3 linked regions of the Caenorhabditis elegans genome follow. The protein of the gene in region 3 interacts with the protein of the main gene of each other region in a biochemical or structural test. Each region holds a gene or a part of one and is shown on either strand. Other genes may lie near its edges.

Region 1 (4,618 bases), on a different chromosome or scaffold from region 3:
AAAACTCACGAGTATCTTTCTCCCAAAGGGTAACCTCCGCCTGAATTCTCTTCTTATTACAAATAGTTGTACCCTTGACAGTGATAGTCTGCTTCTTTGCCTCAACAAAAGCCAAAGCCAAAAGAACAACAGAGGTGAATAGTAAAGCACGCATTGTTGTTTTTTGAATCGTGCACTAACGTTTTTTGTTTTATATACCGACAAAATTCAAGGGAATCAAAATGGGCGGAGCCTATCTGATGGTGAAACAGCGATAAGGCGGGGGGATCGTTTACACTAAACAAAAACATTTTTGTTTCGAAAAATTCAAGGCCATCGAATTGACCGTCGTCTCGAGACAGAAGAGGCGAGAAAGATGAATCATTATATTAAAAAATGATATTTTCCTACTAAACTTTTTTGGATGACGTGATGGCGAAAATGAAAACCGGATTCTCTTGCGCACGCCTATTATCAAAATTGCAGTTTCGTTCCGAAAAAAGGGTTGAATAAAAGAACCGTTTTTTTTGTTGTTGTAGAGAGAAAACAATTTGAAAAAAATAAATACAAAGTCGCGTACGCGTACAGGAATTTGGGGGGAGTTGGAAGAGGCCACACGAAAAGAGACAGTTAAAGTGAAGATGAATTATTGAGATACAGGGGTACTTTGGAAATGTGGAAGAGAAGCGGGAGGCTAGGCCACGGCGAGAAAAGTTAGGGTTTCAGGGTTTTTGACGAAATGTACAGAACACGGAAAAGTTGATATTACGCGGAAGTAGGGTTTGGCCAAAAAAAAAGGCAATCGGAAAAAATTGCAGTAAAATCGTAAATCGACACAGAGAGCCGTAATTTGTGGCCTAGCTTTCCCACTTCTTCCAGTTCAAAGGATGAGAGAATCAGTGAGCAAAAATGAGATTCAAATGTAAGGAGTTGTACATAAATTAATTATTTACACAAATTGAATACGTTACTTCAAGCTGAACATCATCCGCCCACACACGACGACTCCAACGATTCCAATGGCTCCAGCTGTTACTCCAGCGCCAATCATCGACCACCGTCTGTTCTGCTTCCGGCGTCCCACTTTTTCAGCTTCTGCTCGTTCGTAGTCCTCTTTCATTTGTTTTCCGAGTGTCATGAAGTCGTCCTGCAATTTTTTTCTTGATTTTTTATTTTCACAAATAATGCTTTAGAGCATATTCCGGGGAACACAAAAATCCGTGAATGCGTATTTCACAACATATTTGAGGCGGAAATATCTCGTAGCGAAAACTACAGTAATTCTTTAAATGCCTACTGTAGTCGATTTACGGGCTCGATTTTTGAAATTAATTTCTTTTGATTAGTGGTTATTTTCTTTAATTGTAAAAATTTTAAAAATTTAAAGAATTACTGTAGTTTTCTCTACTGGATATTTTGCGCGTCAAATATGTTGTGAAATACGCATTCTGCGAATTTTGTATTCCCGTAACAATAACATTATCATAAACAGTAATATACTTGAATATGTTTCCAGCTGTCCCCCCAAGAGGCTACCGAACCCTGTAATTATCGGCTTACCAACACCCCGGGAAGTCAAGGGTACTAGGGAAAGGGGGATATTGACTTCTAATGTCTATGCAAATACTCCTTACCCAGCTCCGATTGTGTTCCTTCCAGTTGTTGCGGATCCGCGTTTTGATGAACAGCGATGTGTAAACGAAGAGGTTTCGCACTTGTCCCTGCAGTTCCACGGATTCCATCATTTTTGCAGCTACGAAACCGCCGAACGAGATTAGACCTATCTGAAAATTAGAAATTTGCAATTTAATTCGTTCATTTCTGGCGGAAAATTAAGCTTAAAAAAACGATTTTTCTGGTTTTTAATGTTCGAAAATTGAATTTTTGGGGTTTTTCGTTCAGCAAATCAGCAGAAAAACCTGTTTTTCGAAGAAAAAAGTTCAAAAATCGAATTTTAATGTATTTTCCACAAATTTTACATTTAAAAACCGATTTTTGATAAATCAGCAGATCTTTTTCGCAAATACAAATCAAGGAAAATATGCTTTAAAAATATTCGAATAGAAAATAACGTTTTTAATCGAATTCGTAAAGTTTTCTGCTAATTTATCAACAAAAAAAATTACAATCCGGGATCAAAATTCGTGGTTTTTTAATGGAAAACTTTCAAAAAAGACACATAATTGGGCTATTTTTGACCAAGTTTTGCTGATTTCCTGAAGGAAAACAAACAATTTTTGCAAATGTTTTTTCTGCCACCTTTCTGGCGAATTTTCGAATTTTTGCAAACTTTTTTTCAGTATTTTCTCCCTTACCAAACGTCCATAAGACATTGGACATTGATCTGTCTGTGCATTTCCAACCGTCCGAACCACATCCTGATACAGTGAAAATGAGATTCTGGGCACTGCGAGCAGCTGCTCACAGAAGGTCTCAAAATTTTCCGCGTGCTTCTTCTCGAATATCGTTCCCATAACTCGCATCATTTCGTGCTCCGGTTGCACTCCACACGGCAATCCCGGTGCTCCAAACCATTCCATTCCGTTTTGCCGGATTCGGTGCGTGAAATAGTCGACCTGGAAGCAGCAGGAAATTTTATTTACAAAAAAAAATTAAAAAATTACCACAAATCCCTCGATATCAAGCCTTGGCTCTTCCCAATCATTGATTTTTCCATCAATTGACTCTCCGATGGACATTCTTCGCGTCGAAGCCTGCCTACTCGGTGATGGCAAGTCCTGAGCATCACTATTGATTCCAAAATCGGTGGGCTCTGTGCCTTTTATCCCCAGAAACTCCTTCATCTCGCCAGTCGCCATCGTTCGTCGCCGATACGCCGGATTCGTCAGCGAGTTGTCCGCCGTGCAGCGTGTCATCTAAAATTTTTATTCGTTTTCATAATCATAATATACATTCTAGACAGAGAAAAAAAAACGAAGAGGAGAGGTAAATCTACGGAAAAGAGAGAAAATCGAAGAAATCAACGGTAAAAGTAAATTGACGAGAATTGTCGAGGGCTGGGGCGGAGTAAGAAAAAAGAAGGCGGAGCATCTGTGCCTAGGCAGTCTTGTTGCTCTTGTTCTGGCAAGAGTTGAAGACAATGGCGAGAGCAAGAATAGCCGAAAGTCCAGATACGAGATATCCCGATTTGTAGATCTGAAAATTAATTTTTATTTTAAAACAATTAAATTAATAATTTCAACTCCTACCTGTCCAACATTATTGACTCCCTTAGCCAAATCGAATCCTAAGAAGCGAATTCCGTTAAGAGTATGGAAAATGATGGGGAAAGCAATGATGTACTTGAAGACAGCGGTCACCGCGCATGGTAAGTTCCAGCTACGGATGAAATCCACAAAAGCGGTGAAATCGAACGGCAAAACTGCGAATCCGATTCCTCCGACGAGAAGGGTTCCGGCCATTACACAACCGCTGATTCTATGGAATCCGGAGAGCATCCAGGTCAATTGTGGCTGGTAGACGGTGAGATGTGGAGCGATTGGGCGATTCTTGGAGCGCTGCTTCAACAGGTATTCCCATCCGAACTTCTGGATTGGCGTCTTTGCCTCGGACTGTGAATATTATAAATAATTAATTGAAAAGAATGTGTCTGTTATACATTTCTCCTTCATGCGTACACAAAAAATCAACAATTTTCACGGAAAAATTCAAAAAATCCCCACCTTGGTGACGATCGATGTTCCAAAGGAGCGGGAAATCGACGATCTGGCGCCCAAGCGGCACAGAATCGCAGTTGGAATGTTAATCATCCTGAAACAATGCTGATTTTCTTATCAAAATTGAAAAAAGAAACAGGGCGGTGCGTTTCAAAACAAGTGTTGAATTTTGTTGCGGAAATGCACGCACAGGGCACGAGAAGTGCGCCAGCAGCGCGTCTCGTTTGAAGAGATGCGTCAGCAAACGACCCGGGCGCACTTTTCGACTTGTTTTTTGTTCTTTTTTTGTTTTTTTTGTTGCATTTTCTGTGATTTTCTTTGAATAATTATTTTTTCCATTGCAAATTTCAAGATGAAATCTAAAATTCCTCGAATTTCTGATCCATCGACTCCATGGCTAGAGATTTTAGTAAAATTCGGCTTCAAAAATGAGCCTTTTATCCTTGGCGAGTGGAGCACTTCTGGCTGGACAGCCGTTAAAGATTGGGTGCTTCCAAATGGACAGCCAAATAAGGAATATTTGAAAAAGTCCTATGGTTTGTCTGGATAGTTTTTTGTTATGAAAATCCCGTTTCGCTCCAGGAGATTCGAAAGTTCCTATTCTTTGCGGAGGAAATCAGTACAAAACCACTACTTTGAAGGAATTTCTGGAAGAAATGGGCGATCCAGAAGTTTACTTAAAGGATTGGCATTTTCAAAACGAGTAGGAGTTGAATTTCAATTCGAAATTGATTTTTTTAAATTAAAATATTTAGATTCGGAACCTCTTCATACTCCTTGCATCCTTTCTTTTCTCGAGATTTTGTAAATTGTGAGCCATGGACTAGTGAGAAATCGGAAAATCCATTTGGTGACGACTATCGATTCGTTTATATCGGAGCTTCTGGATCCTGGTAGCCTTGGAATTTTCTTAAAAATTAGAAATCCCCTCAAACTTTCTAGGACAAAACTTCATTCCGACG
Region 2 (4,941 bases), on a different chromosome or scaffold from region 3:
TTGCCGATTTGCCGGAAATTTCAATTCTGGCAATTTGCTGGTTTGCTGAATTGCCTAAAATCTCAATTCCGGCTGTTTGTCATTTTGCCCATTTGCCGAAAACTGCAATTCCGGCAAGTTGCCTGGTTTGCCGATTTGCCGGAAATTTCAATTCCGGCTGTTTGTCATTTTGCCGATTTGCAGGAAGTTTCAATTCTGGCAATTTGCCAATTTGTCGAAAACTTTCAATTCCGACAAGCTTGTCGATTATCCAGAAATTTCAATTCCGGAAATTTGTCGATTATCCAGAAATTTCAATTCCGGCAATTTGCCGATTTGCCGATTCGCCGGAAAATTCAATTCCGGTAATGTGCCGGTTTGCTGATTTGCCGATTAATTTTTGAGCTTTTTTGCAATGTTTCCAAGTCAAATAAAACATATTTTCAGATAAAAAAATTTTTTTATTTTATCACTAAATTTTGATGAAAAAAGTATTTTTTGTTGGATAATCACGTGGTGCCAGGCTGTCCCAACACGGTTTGATCTACAAAATTGCGGGAACTTTTCCCGCAAAAAATGTGACGTCAGCACGCTCTTAACCTTGCGAAGTCAGTTGAGAAGTCTGCGTTTCAACTCCCGCATTTTTTGTAGATCTGCGTAGATCAAACCGAAATAAGACTCTGGTACCACGTGTACATATGTGTAATGTTGTTGCATTGCAAAATTCCAATTTCCCCGTAACTCTTTCTCGTCTGCCTAGAAAAGCAAAGTAAGAGAATATTAAATTAGTTGCGCTCTCGGTGCCTCCCCTTCTCCTCCTCTCACCCAATTTCATTCTCAAGCTCTCTCCACAAAAAAAGAGTATTGAAAATCAAGAGAGTTCCTAGAGAAACAAGCAGTGAATGTTTATATACGACTGTCCTTTTTCTCCAAAAATTTCGTCCTTTTCTTCTTCCCCCCACAAACACAATGACCTCCGTCCGAAAAGTTGTCGCGATGTTCTTCTCCCGCCGTCTAACTGCCTGCGTCTCTTCTCTATTTCTCTCCCTCGTTTTCCTGTTCATCACCATCATCATCAGCGGCAGCCGTAGCGGCAAGAGAGAAGAAGAACCGGCTGTTTTTCTGTTTTTTTTTTCTGTTCTGAGGCTTTTGTTACGTGTCTTGGAATTTTTCTCTTTTTCCTTTATTGTGCGAGTGATATGGACTTTTGGTTTTCTTTAAAGGCGCATACGGAAGTTTAAGTTGTTGAAAAAAACATTTGAAAATGTTTTTTTTTTTAATTTCAAAAGCCACGTGGCATATTTACAGCCACTTATCAAAAAAAAAGTTTTTTTACCCAAAAATTGTTGGTCGTTTTTATAGGATTTTTTTTGCGAAATTTTGGAAATAAAATTAATTTTAAAATTTAAACTTAAAACTTTTATTTTAACATTGGGAAAATTTTGTTATTTTCCATAAGTTTCGATAATTTTTGTACAGAAAAATGGTGATAAAATTAGTTTTTCTTCTAAAAATCGGACTTTTCAGACTTTTTTGAATTTTTTTCAAGTGAAAAATTTAAGCAATTTTTTTAAAATCAAGACTGTTTTCAGTTTATTTTTCTATTTTTAGCTATTAAAAATGAAAATTTTCAAGAGAAAAATGTTTTTTTACCATTTTTTCGACATTTTTTCTATTAAAATTGCGTTTTTAAAAACCAAATTAATTAATTGATAAACATGTGCTGTCAATTTCAATGCCAAGTACGCAAACACCACAGCTGCACAGTACCAGATCTACCGTACTCTTCAATTAATTAATTGAAGAGTACGGTAGATCTTGTTCTGTGCACCTGTGGTGTTTGCATACTTGGCATTGAAATTGACGACGCAATATTATCAATTAATTATTTTTGATTATTTTTTCTCAATTTTCAGCCGAAAAAACTCAATTTCTTCGTATAAAATCGATAAATTTCCAGATTTTATGACAGTATCAAACAATGGAATGGCGATGCCGTCTGTTCCGCCAAAAATCGACTGCTCCGAGGCAATTCAGGTAGAAATTCCCTCAAAATACACCAAAAACCTAAAATTTTTGCAGGATTCTCCAAAATTCCGCGCAACAGTCGCTCAACATGCAATGTATTTTAATCGATTAGAGAATCGGCTCAACGAAATGCTCCGACACATCACTGCAATGATTGATTTCAGCAAAAATTATACGAACACGTTTTAGTACGTGAAAAAAATTCATTTTTGGGGTCTCGAAACGATTAAGCTTTCAGATTACTGTATTTTAAAGGCACATAGCGAAAAATAATCGTTTCAAAACCAAAAATTCAAATTTTCTCAAAAAATCCCCGTTTTTTCCAGCAAATTAACGGTTTCGGTGAATCAATTATGCGATGAAAGCTTCTCCGGCAATCCATTGGCGTCTACAACATTCCAAGGATTATCAGAAGCCTATGCACACACTGTTAACCTATTTCGCACGTATTTCGACCATTCAAATGTGGTCACTTTCACGAAACTGTCGAATTTCATTAAAATGTGAGATTTCCGGAGTTTTTTTTGGCGAAAAATCATAAAAATCGATAAATTCTGAGTTAAAAAGGCCGAAAATTACAAAATAACGAGTTTAAGCGAATTTAAATCAAAATTTCGTTTTACTTTAAATTTAGAGGTGAAAAATTCAAATTTCCCGCTGATTTACTAGATTATTCATTCTAGAGGTACAGAAAATTGACAAATTTGAACAATCGAAAATTTTAATTTTTTTTGAACTAAAGGTATTTGGATTGAGCTAAAAATTTTAAAAAAATTTTTGAGCCAGAAAACTTCAAAAAAATTTCTATATTGGAAAAAATTAATTAATTAATTAATTAAATAAATTAAAATTCCTGTAAAAAAATTTGCAAAAAAATAGGCAAAACTCGATTTTTTCTCGGGTTTTTTGGTAATTTTTCAAAAAAAAAATCTTTTTTGAAAAGTTGAATTTCCCGCCAAATTAAAAAAAAAATCAATTTTACGTATAAAACAATATAAGGCAATTTTTTTCGAAAAATAATAAATTTCCAGCCAAAATTCAAGTGTTTTTAACCAAAAATCGCATAATTCACAACAGAAAATTGAAAATTCAATTAAAAATTAGATTTTTCGAAATAAAAAAAATTCAAAAATGTTTCCTCTAAAATCTAATTTAAGTGAGCTCACAAAAGTGGCAGAATCCCGTGCACATTTTGAGAATATGTCCCAATCAATGGATGATGCATTAGTCAAAAATGCGAGTATTTCAAGGCAAAAGCCTGCAGATGCGACAGAAGGGCGAAATGCACTTACTGCGGTGAGTTTTTTGAATTTTCAACGAAAAATATTCGAAATTCTCGATAAAAAACCAAAAAAAAATTCATCCAAATTTTTGAAAAAAATTTCTTTCTAAAAATAGGTATTGTACTGAAATTTTTTTTTACAAATTAAAAAACAGATATCTTTTTTTCGCCAAAAAAATTACTTAGTGATTTTTTTTTGTAAATTTTTAAAATTTTTTCTTCGAGAAATATAAAAATCGTAAATTAATTTTTGCAACAAAAATTATTGATTCATCAAAAAAATGTTAACTTTACTGAAATTTTTTTTTTAAATTTAATTTTTCGAAAAACTAAAAAAAACAGAGAAAAAAACCTAATTCAAAATCGACTTTCTTGAAAAATGCCCATTTTTACTGAAAAGAAATTTAAAAACATTTCTTTTGTAATTTTTTAAAGATTTATATTTTTCGAGAAATATAAAAATCGTTAAAGCGAACAATCAATTTTTTGAAAAAAGAAATATTGATTTATCAAAAAAAGCCGATTTTACAGTAAAAAAAATTCCAAATATATTATCTTCTTTTTTATTTTTTTCAAGATTATTTTATTTTTCGAGAAATTGTTAAAATAAATAATTGATTAATTTTTGGATAAAAATTTAATAATGTTACTGAAAAAAAAAGAATTTTCTGAAAAAAAAAGTCTATTTTTTAAACAATAAATCGAAAAATTTAAAAATGTTCTTAACAAAATCAAAATTTCTGGTTATATAAAACATTCAATTTTGTCGTTTTTTTTTTTGCTTCACCTTAAATAGTTTCTCACAAAGCGTCTCAATTGCAAGAAAAACCACTCAAAAACCCTTAAACAAATAAAAACATTTTTTTTTTCAAACCAAGAAACCCGCTCTTTTCCAGGTCGGCACTTGCTTCGCACACACCACACTCGACTACGTGGCAAATATTAATATTGCACATGCACACAAGGACCATATGATTCTCGATGCGGTTCGTTTTGAATTTTGAAAATTGTTGGTTAAAAAAATTAGAAATTCCCTCGGCTAATGTGAGAGTTATCACATAAAATAACGGAAACTTTTTTTTTCCAAAAATTTGAAAAAAATTCAAAATATTTTATTTTTAGCTGTAAGAGTTTTAGAAAGATCAATTTCTTGATTTTTTGCTCAAAAATTTAAGAATTTATAAATTTTTTTGTAGCCGTTTAACATTTTACTTTTGCCAAAAAAAAACATTAAAATAAAATTTTTAAAAAAATTTTAACTAAAAATTCAAAATATTTTATTTTAAACTGTAATGCATTAGAACTTTGTTAAAAAATTTGTTTTTGAATTTTTAAACTCAAAAACTTGAGAGTTTTGAAATTTTAAATTTTGCGAAAAAGCCCGAAATAAATTTTTTTAAAAGTTTTTTGACTCAAAAATTACAAAATTTCTCAATTTTTAGCAGTTTCGCATTATAATTTTTCACTAAAAATTTCAAAAAAACTTTTTTCCACTGTAGTTATAGTTTTGGTAAAAAAAAATCAAAAATAATTTTTTTCCCGTTTTTTACTCAAAAATTAAAAAAAAACATCTCAATATTAGCCATTTTCCTTTGAATTTTTCTTATTAAAATATTCAAAAACTTCCAACTTTTAGCCGTTTAGCATTCTAA
Region 3 (7,885 bases):
TTGTCGTTTTTTTCTTTGTTCTTTTTGTTGAACGTGTTGCTAAGCAATTATTACATCAATTGAAGAAAAGGCTCGCCGATTTATTGTTGCCAGAAAGATTCTGAGATTCTCGAAGTCGATTTTATAATATTTAACCTTGGTTTTTGCATTGTTTCGTTTAAAAAAACCACTGTTTATGTGAAAAACGATTAGTTTACTAATAAAACTACTTTTAAACCTTTACCTTTACCTCACCGCTCCGTGTTCATGGCTCATAGATTTTCGATACTCAAATCCAAAAATAAATTTACGAGGGCAATTAATGTGAAACAAAAACAATCCTAAGATTTCCACATGTTTGACCTCTCCGGCACCTTCTTCCTTAGCCCCACCACTCCATCACCTCTTTGGCGGTGTTCTTCGAAACCCACTTAGGAAAGCAGTGTGTATCTCATTTGGTATGCTCTTTTCGATTTTATAGCTCTTTGTCGCAATTTCAATGCTTTAAACAATCCAAATCGCATTATATTTGTGCATGGAGGCAAATGACGGGGTTGGAATCTTAGATGAGATCAGGAGCTTTCAGGGTAAACGCCCGGTTCATTTTGTACCACATTTCATCATTTTCCTGTCGTCCTTGGTATCCTCAACTTGTCCCGGTTTTGTTTTCGGTACACTCTTCCGTGATGCCACCTGCTCCGTCTCAATTATCGTTTAGAAATGTGAACTGTCCAGATGGGTGACTCATATTGCTGCTGCTACAATCCACTTTCTTTTCTCATCGGCATGCTTACGAGCCCATCATAAACTTTTTTTTCCGCGAAATTTGCAATAAACCGGCCAAAAACTTTCTCCAAATTGTTACGCAATATATACAATCCATAAGAATATCTTCTCAATGTTTATGATTTCTTCGCAGCACTTTCTCTTCGTGTGCTAACATCTTATTTTTATAATATTTCCGCTAAAATTCCGATTTTTGAGTATTAATTTATCGTAAAATTATCATAATAGCACCGAAAACTACAAAAAATGGTAAAGTCTTTTAAATCGGCTCGACATTATCGTATTAAGGAATCACAAAATTCTGAGAATGCGTACTGCGCAACATATTTGACGCGCAAAATATCTCGTAGCGAAAACTACAGTAATTCTTTAAATGACTACTGTAGCGCTTGTGTCGATTTACGGGCTCAATTTTTGAAAATAATTTTTTTTTTCGAATTTTGACAACCCGTAAATCGTCACAAGCGCTACGGTAGTCATTTAAAGGATTACTGTAGTTCTAGCTACGAGATATTTTGCGCGCCAAATATGATGCGTAATACGCATTCTCTGAATTTTGTGTTTCCGTAATAATTTCACAAGATTTTGGCATTCCTCTTTAAAGGCGCACGGATTTATTCCAATGGGTCTCGGCACGCAAAAAGTTTGATAGACTTTTAAATTCTCCTTGCATTTTTAATTCAATTACTAAAATTTTCGTGAATTTTTCTGTTAAAATTTTTAAAATCAGTTTTCTAATATTTTCCAGGCTGACAAACAGAAACAAAAACACAACAAACATTTTAAAAATCAGTTTTCAAATTAAAAATAACGATTTCTCATTGAAAATTGTGTTTTATGTTTGCGAAAATAAAAGAGAACTGATTCAAAACAATTTTAACAAAAAAAAACCCCAAAATTCGCCAGAAATCAAGATAAAAAATTCAAGAGGGTCAAAATTTTCCGATTTTACTGACTTTCACCTTTTTTTTCGTAGTTCAGTGCAGTTGTTGGAGTTTTTGACGAAAACTAGGAAAAAAATCGATAAAAATTACTCAAATCGAGCTGAATTTTGAGGACAATGTTTAAAAAAAAACACTATTTTTCCAATAATTTCACTCATTTTCAGACTAAATCGAAAATCAAATCGTACTCTGACTACGGGTCAGTAGAGAGGTCAACCATCAGCCGAAGATGATGCGTCAAGATAGAAGGAGCTTGCTAGAGAGGAACATTATGATGTTCTCTAGTCATCTAAAAGTCGATGAAATTCTCGAAGTTCTCATCGCAAAACAAGTGTTGAATAGTGATAATGGAGATATGATTAATGTGAGTTTTTAATCGAATAATAATTTTAAAAAAAAATTGATAATATAAAGAATATTTTTGCAGTCATGTGGAACGGTTCGCGAGAAGAGACGGGAGATCGTGAAAGCAGTGCAACGACGGGGAGATGTGGCGTTCGACGCGTTTTATGATGCTCTTCGCTCTACGGGACACGAAGGACTTGCTGAAGTTCTTGAACCTCTCGCCAGATCGTAGGTTTTTAAAGTTCGGCGCAAAAGCAAGGGTCTCACGGAAAAAGAGGCGGATCGTAATTTTGCAACCCACCGGCACGGTTTTTTCCTCCGAAAATCGGAAATTATGCACTTTCCCAAATATTTGAAGTGAAATATATTTTATTTACTGAAAGCTCGAGTGATTATTTATTTTTTAACACTAATTTTCGTGGCGCAAAAGGCCATTTTGTAGATTTGCCGAAAATACTTGTCACACACACACACACACATCTCCTTCAAATATCCCTTTTTTCCAGTGTTGACTCGAATGCTGTCGAATTCGAGTGTCCAATGTCACCGGCAAGCCATCGTCGGAGCCGCGCATTGAGCCCCGCCGGCTACACTTCACCGACCCGAGTTCACCGTGACAGCGTCTCTTCAGTGTCATCATTCACTTCTTATCAGGATATCTACTCAAGAGCAAGATCTCGTTCTCGATCGCGTGCACTTCATTCATCGGATCGACACAATTATTCATCTCCTCCAGTCAACGCATTTCCCAGCCAACCTTGTATGTTGATGCGAACACTAAATTCTGAGAATGCGCATTACTCAACATATTTGACGCGCAAAATATCTCGTAGCGAAAAATACAGTAACCCTTTAAATGACTATTGTAGTGTCGATTTACGGGCTCGATTTTCGAAACGAATATATGCTCGAATTGTGACAACGAATTTTAATTTGTCATTTTTGTGTTTTCTTTTGATATTTTTGATCAATTAATAAATTATTTCCGTAAACAGACACCAGCGCTACAGTACTCTTTTAAAGAGTTACAGTAGTTTTCGCTTCAAGATATTTTGAAAAGAATTTTAAACATTTTGAAAAAAAATCATCTAACATGTGCCAAAACGCTTTTTTCAAGTTTCGCAGATTTTTTGATTTTTTTCATTCAAGATATGCTTATTAACACATATAATTATCATTAATGTGAATATCTTGTAGAAATTTTGGTTTTCGTTCTAGTATGCTCTACTTTTGAAATTGCTCAACGAAAAAATCATGTGGTTGTTCATATGATGACGAAAAATGCATTTTTTATATATTTTCCCCTATTCATGTGTGCAGAAAAATGTAAAAAAGCGCATGCATTTTTCGACATTTTTTACATCGAACGACAGCTCACTTCACATGCTGAAGACGAGAGACGCGGAGAAATACCACACATCTTTCTGCGTCTCTCGTCTTCAGCATGTGAAATGGGATGTCGGTCGATGTAAAAAAATGTCGAATAATGTAAAAAATGCATGCGTTTTTTTACACTTTTCTGCACAAATGAATAGGGGGAAAATGTATTAAAATACATTTTTTGTATTTTTCAACATCACATGATTAACCCCATTATTTTTTCGTTGAGCAACTTAAAAAGTAGAGAATATTAGAGCGAAAACCAAAATTTCTTCAAGATATTACCTTTATTGATAATTATAGATGTTAATAAGCATATCTTGAATGAAAGTCAGCAAAAATATGTGCGAAACACCTGAAAAAAATCAAAAATTCTGCGAAAATTGAAAAAATGCATTAAAATACATTTTTGCATTTTTCTACATCACATGAATGTAGAAAATTAAAAGGGAAATCAAAATTTCTAGAGGATATAATTGAATGAAACATTGCGAAATTAAAATGTGCGAAACGTCAAAAAAGAGGAAATTTGGGTATCAAAATCGATCCTAAAACCAACACATTTCAGCATCCGCCAACTCTTCATTCACCGGATGCTCTTCTCTCGGATACAGTTCAAGTCGTAATCGCTCATTCAGCAAAGCTTCTGGACCAACTCAATACATATTCCATGAAGAGGATATGAACTTTGTCGATGCACCAACCATAAGCCGTGTTTTCGACGAGAAAACCATGTACAGAAACTTCTCGAGTCCTCGTGGAATGTGCCTCATCATAAATAATGAACACTTTGAGCAGATGCCAACACGGAATGGTACCAAGGCCGACAAGGACAATCTTACCAATTTGTTCAGATGCATGGGCTATACGGTTATTTGCAAGGACAATCTGACGGGAAGGGTACGGCGAAATTATATTACCCAAACGCGAAATTTTTGCCATTTTTGCGCCGAAAATGTGGCGCCCGGTCTCGACACGACAATTTGTGTTAAATGCAAAAATGTATAATTTTGCAAAAAACAAAATTTTGAACTTCCGCGAAAATGATTTACCTAGTTTCGAAATTTTCGTTTTTTCCGGCTACATTATGTGTTTTTTCTTAGTTTTTCTATAATATTTGATGTAAAAAACCGTTTGTAAATTTTCAGACAATTTTCCGCATACAAAACTTGATAGCACGAAATCAATTTTCTGAATTTTCAAAATTATCCAAAAATGCACAATTTAAAATTTGTGAAAATTGGCAAACGGTGTTTCAATATGAAATGTATTTTTAAAAACTTTAAAAACCACTCCGGAAAAGCAATAAAAATCAAAACAACGTCACAATTCAAATTCAAAAGTTATTCATCCGATTTGTTTATTTTTGCAAAATTTGAAAAAATCATGAAGGATTTAGAAAAGTTTTATAACATTTTTTCTAGATTTTTCAAAATTTTTTTTAACAAATCGAGAAAAAGAGAATGAAAAATCGATTTTAAAAATATCCACAGCAACGAGAGTTTGAAATTACAGTACTCCTTAAAGGCGCACACCCCATTTGCATTGACCAAAAATTTGTCGTGTCGAGACCAGGTACCGTAGTTTTTGTCGCAAAAATTGCACCATTGGACAATAAACCTTCCTAATCACCAAAAAGTAAAATTGAAATCTTCGAAAAGCCAAAAAATTCAAAAAAAAAGTCGAATTTCGATTTTTTTTTTGGTTTTTTGGTCCCAAAAACCAAAAAATCAATTTTTCGTCAAAATACCAAAAGAAACCCAAAAAATTTCCCAGCCTTGTTCCTAATGTAAACTGATATTTAATTTCCAGGGAATGCTCCTGACAATTCGAGACTTTGCCAAACACGAATCACACGGAGATTCTGCGATACTCGTGATTCTATCACACGGAGAAGAGAATGTGATTATTGGAGTTGATGATATACCGATTAGTACACACGAGATATATGATCTTCTCAACGCGGCAAATGCTCCCCGTCTGGCGAATAAGCCGAAAATCGTTTTTGTGCAGGCTTGTCGAGGCGGTTCGTTTTTTATTTTAATTTTAATATAAATATTTTAAATAAATTCATTTTCAGAACGTCGTGACAATGGATTCCCAGTCTTGGATTCTGTCGACGGAGTTCCTGCATTTCTTCGTCGTGGATGGGACAATCGAGACGGGCCATTGTTCAATTTTCTTGGATGTGTGCGGCCGCAAGTTCAGGTTGCAATTTAATTTCTTGAATGAGAATATTCCTTCAAAAAATCTAAAATAGATTTTTATTCCAGAAAGTCCGACGAAAAAATTGCGATATAATTACGAAATTTGTGATAAAATGACAAACCAATCAGCATCGTCGATCTCCGCCCACTTCATCGGATTGGTTTGAAAGTGGGCGGAGTGAATTGCTGATTGGTCGCAGTTTTCAGTTTAGAGGGAATTTAAAAATCGCCTTTTCGAAAATTAAAAATTGATTTTTTCAATTTTTTCGAAAAATATTCCGATTATTTTATATTCTTTGGAGCGAAAGCCCCGTCCTGTAAACATTTTTAAATGATAATTAATAAATTTTTGCAGCAAGTGTGGAGAAAGAAGCCGAGCCAAGCTGACATTCTGATTGCATACGCAACGACAGCTCAATATGTTTCGTGGAGAAACAGTGCTCGTGGATCATGGTTCATTCAAGCCGTCTGTGAAGTGTTCTCGACACACGCAAAGGATATGGATGTTGTTGAGCTGCTGACTGAAGTCAATAAGAAGGTCGCTTGTGGATTTCAGACATCACAGGGATCGAATATTTTGAAACAGATGCCAGAGGTACTTGAACAACAATCGATCTGCTAACTTTTTAAGGCACAGAAAAATAGGCAGAGCGTCCTTTTGCAAGCCTGCCGCGCGTCAACCTAGAATTTTAGTTTTTAGCTAAAATGATTGATTTTGAATATTTTATGCTAATTTTTTTGCGTTAAATTTTGAAATAGTCACTATTTATCGGGTTTCCAGTAAAAAATGTTTATTAGCCATTGGATTTTACTGAAAACGAAAATTTGTAGTTTTTCAACGAAATTTATCGATTTTTAAATGTAAAAAAAAATAGCGAAAATACATCAACATCAAGCATTTAAGCCAAAAATTGTTAACTCATTTAAAAAATTAATTCAAAGTTGTCCACGAGTATTACACGGTTGGCGCGCGGCAAGTTTGCAAAACGACGCTCCGCCTCTTTTTCTGTGCGGCTTGAAAACAAGGGTATCGGTTTTAGATTTTTCCCCAAAATTTAAATTAAATTTCAGATGACATCCCGCCTGCTCAAAAAGTTCTACTTTTGGCCGGAAGCACGAAACTCTGCCGTCTAAAATTCACTCGTGATTCATTGCCCAATTGATAATTGTCTGTATCTTCTCCCCCAGTTCTCTTTCGCCCAATTAGTTTAAAACCATGTGTATATTGTTATCCTATACTCATTTCACTTTATCATTCTATCATTTCTCTTCCCATTTTCACACATTTCCATTTCTCTACGATAATCTAAAATTATGACGTTTGTGTCTCGAACGCATAATAATTTTAATAACTCGTTTTGAATTTGATTAGTTGTTGTGCCCAGTATATATGTATGTACTATGCTTCTATCAACAAAATAGTTTCATAGATCATCACCCCAACCCCACCAACCTACCGTACCATATTCATTTTTGCCGGGAATCAATTTCGATTAATTTTAACCTATTTTTTCGCCACAAAAAATCTAATATTTGAATTAACGAATAGCATTCCCATCTCTCCCCGTGCCGGAATGCCTCCCGGCCTTTTAAAGTTCGGAACATTTGGCCAATTATGTATAAAATTTTGTAGGTCCCCCCCATCATTTCCCGCCCATCATCTCAAATTGCATTCTTTTTTCGCCGTGATATCCCGATTCTGGTCAGCAAAGATCTTTCTCATAGCCCATTCCATTCGAGCTTTCTAATAGGAATTTGAAAATTTTCGAAATTCCAGTAAATAATATTGGAAAATGGATTTTTCGAGTTTTCAGCAACACAAATTTACTTGAAACCCCATTTTCCAAAATTTCAATTTTTTCAAATTTCCCGCTATCTTCCAAAATACTCTTGTACGTTTATTATATTTCCCTCGTTTTTCTTCGATTCCTCCTCTCCGCGCACCCAATAAGTTTTATATATGTTGAGATTTATATAGCTTGTTATTATAATTATATATTTATAGATTATTATAGTTGCTTTTCTCGCCGTATGTTTGTGTGTGTGTGATTGGTATACATAGATAAAAGAAAACAAGGTGTTAACAAAACAAAGGTGAAAAATAATCAACAATTAAAGAAGGAAACAAGCTAATATAAAATTTCGCACATATATGATATGCAAGCTTCTGACAATTCCCTAGTGAGTACTACAGATTAAGAATATGTGCACAAAAATTAAAGGCTGAATTTAAGCTTCTCAAAC

What was found. Proteins that work in one complex are often made in the same cells at the same time.
Region 1: of the proteins of ced-3 (region 3) and ced-9, one has a biochemical effect on the other in vitro, tested with the Caenorhabditis elegans proteins (3 studies listed by BioGRID).
Region 2: of the proteins of ced-3 (region 3) and cnt-1, one has a biochemical effect on the other in vitro, tested with the Caenorhabditis elegans proteins (2 studies listed by BioGRID).

The regions. Positions count from the first base shown.
Region 1 is NC_003281.10:10,333,409-10,338,026, reverse strand, and holds ced-9 (Apoptosis regulator ced-9), read right to left. Parts: upstream 2,856-4,618; coding exon 2,604-2,855; intron 2,556-2,603; coding exon 2,295-2,555; intron 1,764-2,294; coding exon 1,614-1,763; intron 1,127-1,613; coding exon 947-1,126; 3' UTR 505-946; downstream 1-504. Other genes in the region: ttr-15 (Transthyretin-like protein 15), read right to left, coding at 10-154; mev-1 (Succinate dehydrogenase cytochrome b560 subunit, mitochondrial), read right to left, coding at 3,037-3,135, 3,189-3,551, 3,663-3,749; jmjd-4 (Jumonji domain-containing protein 4), read left to right, coding at 4,009-4,192, 4,239-4,359, 4,412-4,549, 4,599-4,618. UniProt on the Caenorhabditis elegans protein: Plays a major role in programmed cell death (PCD, apoptosis). egl-1 binds to and directly inhibits the activity of ced-9, releasing the cell death activator ced-4 from a ced-9/ced-4 containing protein complex and allowing ced-4 to activate the cell-killing caspase ced-3.
Region 2 is NC_003280.10:12,085,865-12,090,805, reverse strand, and holds the start of cnt-1 (Truncated cnt-1), read left to right. Parts: upstream 1-1,937; 5' UTR 1,938-1,944; coding exon 1,945-2,016; intron 2,017-2,061; coding exon 2,062-2,195; intron 2,196-2,333; coding exon 2,334-2,510; intron 2,511-3,164; coding exon 3,165-3,303; intron 3,304-4,185; coding exon 4,186-4,275; intron 4,276-4,941. UniProt on the Caenorhabditis elegans protein: GTPase-activating protein for the ADP ribosylation factor family. Regulates endosome recycling downstream of rab-10 and upstream of arf-6.
Region 3 is NC_003282.8:13,198,120-13,206,004, reverse strand, and holds ced-3 (Cell death protein 3 subunit p17), read left to right. Parts: upstream 1-1,867; 5' UTR 1,868-1,938; coding exon 1,939-2,073; intron 2,074-2,136; coding exon 2,137-2,282; intron 2,283-2,560; coding exon 2,561-2,814; intron 2,815-4,002; coding exon 4,003-4,334; intron 4,335-5,246; coding exon 5,247-5,460; intron 5,461-5,514; coding exon 5,515-5,642; intron 5,643-5,715; exon of another isoform or gene 5,716-5,865; intron 5,866-5,996; coding exon 5,997-6,236; intron 6,237-6,712; coding exon 6,713-6,775; 3' UTR 6,776-7,744; downstream 7,745-7,885.